2 linked regions of the Drosophila melanogaster genome follow. Each later gene encodes a partner of the first gene's protein in a complex. Each region holds a gene or a part of one and is shown in the gene's direction. Other genes may lie near its edges. The genes, in order: wac and dgt2.

What was found.
Region 2: wac (region 1) and dgt2 share a complex: the UniProt entries of both Drosophila melanogaster proteins name them as parts of the augmin complex.

Annotation. Positions count from the first base shown.
Region 1 is NT_037436.4:256,060-259,597, forward strand, and holds wac (wee augmin), read left to right. Parts: upstream 1-2,116; 5' UTR 2,117-2,332; coding exon 2,333-2,336; intron 2,337-2,346; exon of another isoform or gene 2,347-2,391; coding exon 2,392-2,704; intron 2,705-2,763; coding exon 2,764-2,938; 3' UTR 2,939-3,038; downstream 3,039-3,538. Other genes in the region: DIP2 (DISCO interacting protein 2), read right to left, coding at 155-534, 590-997, 1,071-1,142, 1,494-1,566; Tudor-SN (tudor staphylococcal nuclease), read right to left, coding at 3,444-3,538. UniProt on the Drosophila melanogaster protein: As part of the augmin complex, plays a role in centrosome-independent generation of spindle microtubules.
Region 2 is NT_033779.5:11,988,114-11,991,660, forward strand, and holds dgt2 (dim gamma-tubulin 2), read left to right. Parts: upstream 1-1,822; 5' UTR 1,823-1,910; coding exon 1,911-2,142; intron 2,143-2,199; coding exon 2,200-2,663; 3' UTR 2,664-2,859; downstream 2,860-3,547. Other genes in the region: CG34163 (uncharacterized protein), read left to right, coding at 205-216, 271-522; zuc (zucchini), read right to left, coding at 950-1,711; escl, read left to right, coding at 2,860-3,158, 3,217-3,406, 3,462-3,547. UniProt on the Drosophila melanogaster protein: As part of the augmin complex, plays a role in centrosome-independent generation of spindle microtubules.

The DNA of each region.
Region 1 (3,538 bases):
AGTTAAAGAGTATAATTCTTTTAATACATATATTTCGGTCTTAGTCTGTTCACATCTGAACAGTATATATTTACTGCAATAAATATTCACAATCAACATATTGTCGAAGCTAGCTTTTTTTCCTCTTTAAATGTATTATTATTATATTACTCACAAGTGGGGGTAAGTTTTGCGGTGGTCGCCTTTCTGGAGCGCTATTCGGCGCCGTATACTTTTGATTTGTAATTTGGTTCTGTTTCACGTCTGTCCTCGCATGCTGCTGTGAACCCATCGATGATTCACGAATTGGAGGTTTAATTATCGGTTCTGGTGGCAGTATGCTATTGCTTATATGATCCCGTGGATAATTGTACTCCTTGTCGGGGGAAATTGTCTCCTCGGGTATGGATTCGTCATCCGTCGATGAGTCCAGCTCATCATTGCACCCAGGGCTTCGGTTTAATACAGATGTGCGCTTCGATGGCATTGGAAGGCTGGGTTTTGGCCGTCCCTTAAGAGCTGCAAGGGCCTGTTGCACAGCCTCTTGTCGTACTTCTAGGGGTCAGATGATCAGAGATAAAATGTTGTTGCTGTAACTTGTTCTACTAACCAGAATGATAACGTTTCTCATTGTGCGTTACTTTGCGCTGTGTGCGTCGTTGACGATGCTGACTATTATTAGTTGACTGTTGGTTCTGAAAAGCACTTGGTTCGCGAGTGTTCTGATACCCGGGATCGCCGACTGCTCCACCCTGCGGTCGCATATTTTCGTAGCCAGGAGCCCCAGCATTTCCGCTCTGTGGTGCCGATGACAAGCTCATGGCGGCTTGCTGATGGAAGTCAATTTTTTTGGAATGTCTTTGCTGCGAGGAGGACAGGGAGGGCACTTCAGTCACATAACTGTAGCCCTCGCTGGACACAATGACGCCGTCGTTATTGATGTTTCCGTGGTTGGTGCTGTTGTTGGCATTTTTAACGTTGTAGTATGGCGGTGGCGGCGTACTTTTCACTTTATCGCCTGTTCACAACAAAAGGATCAAGAACTTTCTGGTGACGACCAAACGACCAAATATCAATGTTTTCGAACATACCTTCTGGCTTCTTTAGGAACGGCTGCAACAGCTTCGCCCTTTTCTTTTCGTAGCCTTTCTGCGTAATGTCACCTAGAAAAGCAGATGGAATTGTTTTCTTAACGATTAATATGTCCGCTGGGCCTCGTCGTTTTTTGAAAAGCGTGGAGTAGCGACTGAATCATGTATTCATGCTGAAAGCCACACAACACAACACACACACTTTTCTTTTAATTGGTCGGTCCCCGACTATATGTGGGCAGCTTTCAGCGAAAGAAAAGCCGAGAACAGCACTTGTAATCCCATTTGGGGGCGACAAGTATCCAATGATTTGAATCAGACCAGACTACGTCTGCCACAGTTTTCACGCGATTTTCTACAACTCAGTCGCCGCACTTTAACAACAATATTTTATTTTTGTGTGTATTATTCAAATAGGTATACCTTCCGACAGCTCTAAGTCCAGTTCGGCGAGCTTCTCGCGGACGTAGCCAGGCAGCGAGGCAGTGTGCTCCATGGCAGATGAAAAGTGTGGCTTTAGGGTTTTGTTCTATCCTCTTCCTTGGAGGATTCGTCTAAACTTTGGCTGGTCGCAGTACACAAACACACCCAGACACCGCTACTTTCCCACTTCGTTGTCAAAAATCGATCGATTTGCCATTTATTCTATTTCACATTTTGCCGACGCAAATAAATACATCCGTACTTGCGCAGCACCAGTACTTTGGGTTAGTTAGAAAACACGATATTACGAATGTCTTTTACGAATTTGCACAATGAAAGTAAACAAAGAAAAATAGCAGTACAAATCGATTTTATGAACTAGCGAAAAATTGATAACTATTTCTTCATACTCTTGGGACAACGGCCTTTTTCAATTTTCGAGATGCGGTCACACTGCCCAAGTAATCGAACCACGAATTTAAGTGTTATTTTTAATGATATTAGGCATAGAACCATTACAATTAAAAAGCTCTATTATTTATTACTTTAATCGCTTGTCTCTTAAAATTCGATTCAACAAAAGCAATTGGTGGCATTTTGCTAGGTAGCCCTGAAATACTGTAGAGACTATCGATATCTGCACCTAAGGCGCCTATTATCACATTCGGATTACGAAGACAAAGACATGCGAAACCTGGATACGATTAGTGGCGAAGAAAAGCAAAGTCCTGCCAACTTAGTCTAAATTGTTTCTAAGCCGGCTGCCTATACGCCTGCGTTTTGAGCAAAGCGGTAGTATCTTTTTCGGAACCATCGATAGCTTGTCATCTCCAGTAAAAATGCGTGAGTTTATTTAAAAAAAACGCTAGGCATACAACTAATTATTCTTATGATGCAGAGAACTTGAAGATCCAAGAGGAAGTCAATTCATTGATGCGTCTAGGCCAGCACTTCGATGACCAGTTAAAGCTGGCTAGCGTCGAGTTGGGCGATTTCTCGGACGATGACCTGGCGCTCCTTGACAAATGCGCCCAATATTATTCACTTTTGCACATTCACGACATCAATCTGAACTACTTGCGCGACTTCTATTGTGCCAAGAAGAGGGAATGCATAGAAAACCGGCAGACCACAGTGCAGCAACGCGTAGAGCTGCAGCGCATCCTCTCGTCCATCGAGGAGGCGACTAGGGACGTAGTTATGTTGGAGAGGTATTGGTGAACAAATCCCTTTAATAGTTGAATCCCTGACCAAAACCATTCTTCTGCAGATTTAATGCTGCTGCGGAAGAGCGGCTCATCCCGGATATCGTCGTAATGCAGCGAAACGCCCAACAGCTTGCAACAAAACAGGCCTTACTGGACCGGCAAAAAACCCTTAAGATCCCAAAGGATTTTAGCATTGAAAGTGTCATCGAGAAGGTAGATTCGCTGGAGCAGCGCTAAAGAAGTGAATTGCTTTCGTTTTTAAAAAATTATTTAATTGTATTTACTCAGTAATGCAAAACACTTTACAAAAACATAAAATCTGCAAATTTTAAAGATGAATGTTGAGGTTTACAACTTGGAACACTACACAATCAGAGGGTGCACTTATTTTGGTTATTGTACGCATTTTAAAAACGTTCCAATTGTTGCTAGGTTGTGTCAAATATTTATTTAAAGTATCATGATAGGAAAACTAGAAGACCAAATAATAATTTGCCAGCTGCTTAAAGCATACAAAAAGTGTACCGTGTTCTTCCATGCCATTGCTCATATGTATGTATTTGTGTATTTCCAATGTGGTATATGTATCATATATATTGGTGTATAGATAGAATTAGTAATTTCATATTCTTTAAGTTCTTGCTTGTTGTTATGTATATAAAGGGCGGGTATGTGGCAGACAATCTTTTCGGCTAGCAACGCGCTCCACGCCACAGGCCTACTCCACGTTTCCGGGCATCTTTTAGCGGAACTCGGGCGCATCATCTTGCGTTATGTCACCGTACTTCCAGATGGCCAGATGCGCGACCCGAGCTGCTTCCTGCGCGGCTTTGTACT
Region 2 (3,547 bases), on another chromosome or scaffold:
GAATGTAATTATTAAATTATCACGCAATGTAGTACTTCGGAACTTTTTATTTGTTAAAAGGACCTTTTTATTTAGAATTCGTTTTGTTAAAATTACCTTTTTGAATGACTAAACTTACACCGCCTACTCTTCTTCTTATTTTTTGTTTTGCCATTCACCACGAACTTAATAACAACTTAACACGCGGAGATCTCCACATAAACAATGGAAATTAAAGTACGTAAACAAATTATTTGCGACCTAAAACTTATTTCATTTTGATCCCCGTAGAAGTCCAAGAAATCAAAGAACGACAAGAAGTCCAAGGCGCCCAAGGAGTCGTCCGTTTCGCTCAAACTGAACGCTTTGCATCGCAAGCAAAAGGAAGTCGCCCGCGTGCTCACTTTAAAACAAGAAATATTACTGAAATCGGGTGTATCCTATCTGGAATATTATGAGATTCTGGCAGAAATCGAACGACTCAACGGCCTAAAGGAGTCATTTATGCGCCGCGCTGATAAGCTGAAGCAACAGGACAAATAGTTGATAAGTTGGTTTGGTTTAGAAACTATATAAGAGTAAAGAAATCTGTAGCAGTTATATTTCGGAATGTTTTGTACATACATACATGTAATCTTTTTTGTAATTAACTTTTATTTACTTAAAAGCTTTCAATAACATGATGAATAAAGTAGAAAGTTATATATATAGTCAAAGCTGATCATAACTAAATGCACGTTGAAAATTAGTCAACTCAATCGAAGTGATAAAGATTTCATACGGATTATACTGTTAGGTATACATTTTGATTACTTTTGTTTTGCTTAATTAATTTGGCACTCCTTTGTGTGTGAAGATCAAGCTGCCTTAAAAAGTTTTAGTTTAATTGAAGGCACTTAGAAAATAAGAACTATAATTATTTGGCATACTGAGGAACTGTTTGGTAGTCATACATTAAATCAATTGATTTCTACTTGAGCTGGATTTGGCTCCCCTCGGTCTTCGCAAAAGCCCGCCACATTCGTTGGAATTCCGCCTGAAACGTGGCTGTGAGTTTGTCGTCAGCTGTGATAATGCAGTTCTCCCAATTGCCTCCCAGTCCAAGAGCCGTCCAGTTTACGGAGCCGCTGATCACGATGCTATAGCACGGACGCATAAACTTGAGCTTCCTCAGCAGACGAATCTCCTCGACGCGCTCGAAGCCGTCGATTATGCAGAATTTGTTGTGCATCAAGTTCGTGGTAATGGGGACGCGAACTGGAACTCCCAATTGTGCCAGCATACTGATCTGAGAACCTTTGGAGTAGACCATCTCCCCGTCGCTGATGATCCGGATAATCACGCCGCGCTGCAGGGCCCGCTTTATTGAATCCGCCAAAAAAAGCGAGGTGAAGGTGTATATGGCCAGGTCAATGGAGTATACAGCCCGATCGATCTGCTCTACGATCTTGGCCACATTCCGCAGCGAACAATGCGTGTTGCAGCAGGGCGACACTTGTGGTTTCTGGGATCCCATGCTGCTGTTGCGCATATGCACCGCCGCACAGATCTCGCCCAGTTCATTGAAGATGATCACTTCGTGCACGCGGCTTGCCTTCTCTCGCTTGCTGCGCGAGCACTGCACCAGCTTCCAAATCACCTCTGAGGCCAGGACAGTGCTGACGGCAATGCTTATTGTGGACACAATGGGATAGTCTCGAATTTGTTTCATAATTATTTGGGTAATCAACATTTTTGAATTTAGCTCGTTTCTCTAGCGCGCTTTAAATAATAATCTTGGGGTGACCATTATAAAATATAAGTAAAATATATTATCGTTAGTAGCTACCGGTCACACTGTTGCTCAGTAGCGTTGCCGTATCGCAGCCATGCGCTTGCCCATTCGAATCAAACAATCAATTTCGGGTCAATTTAAGCATTTTACCACCTAAATGGATGATCCATCCGCCACGCTCTTGCCCGAACACTCGGAAGATTTGCGGCTGGCTCGCGATGCGGAGCTGAAGAAGGTGCTCAAGCTGAAGCTAGTGCTGGACGAGCTAAGACGCCTGGATGTGGGCCCAAATCCGAGTGATGAAATCAAAAGAGCCCTCAAATTGGTTTCCATTGGAAGTTATGCGCGACTCGGCGAGATGGAGGGAGCTGGTCAGGAGCAGGTGCTTGGTAGGCGCGTTACAAGTTTATTCCAAAAGCAGTGAATAACCATTGGAAATCTAACAGGTCTACCGAGCGGCAGCAGTTTTCCGCCCTTGAATTACACGGATCGCAAGACGGTGCGTACCAAATTGTCCGCTCAATTACGCACAACTCTGCAACCCATTGCCGAATTGTGCGACAGGATACGCGAGGAGTTCCCGGACGCCTTTGGCCAGGAGGCGGACTTAAGCTGCGACCAAAAGGAGATTCTGCGCCTGGAGGAGGAGCATCGCAGCGGTCTGGAGAAATTGGTTGCGCTTCTCACTCGTAAGTGCACGCTTCTCAAGGAGACCGCCGAATTGAAATTGGGGCCGCAGTTGGCAAACGAACTAAAATTGCAACAGGCGCAGGCGCAACTTGTTCAAACAAAAGCAGAACTACTGCGCGGATTTTTCGTCCACGAGGCCGCCTCTCGCACCGAACATAGCGTCAAGGCACATAAGGAGGTGGAGGCGCACCTGGACGAGCTGCTCGCCGCCAAGAAGTAGATTTAAGCAAACTAGTATTATGTAAATTAGATTTTTAAATACATTATAATTGTGATTTAAACAGGGTTGTTCGTTTAGGTCTTTTCGCTCTAGAATGGCAACACTGTTTTGCACTGCAGTATTTGCAGACGGTCACTCTAGGGATAAACAATTTGTAAACAAAAGAAGCTTTTAAGTTTGCCGGAATAAAACAGATATGACCGAAACGAATCCCAGTGAAATATCTCCTCCGAGCGAAGAGCCACCGGCAGAGGACGAATCCACTGACCACTCTCCAGCGGAGGCAGTGCTGAGCAATAATTCCTCGAGTGTCTGCAATGTTGTGGAGCCGGATGATGAGCACGAAGTTAATTCCGTGGATCGGGAGGACACCGCCAGTTTGTTCAGCACTACTACGACCACCACCAGAAGCAAATCGCCAAATACACGAAAATTGAACCGCCTGTGTCGGCGGATCAAGGCACCCAAAATGGTTCAGCCCTTGTACAAATATAGGTGTGATTTTTCCAGGCAGAACATAAGTCATAATGTTTATATCCCGGATGCATTGCAGCTCCCATGTCCGCGAGGACCACAACCATCAGATCTTCGGAGTGCAGTTCAATCCGTTCCTGGACAGAGGCCAGCCGCAGGTGTTCGCCACCGTTGGCAAGGATCGGGTTTCCATTTATGAGTGCGAGAGGAGCACCGGACAGGAGTCCTGCGAAGGCATTCGACTGCTGCAAGTCTACGCAGACCCAGATGTAAGTACTCATCATATGCTATTACTTACATACATCATCGTTACGCCCTCGTTAGACCGATGAAAGTTTCTACACATGCGCTTGGTCCTACGACTCTGTGACCGGCGATCCTGTGCTTGCCGCGGCTGGTTACCGCGGCGT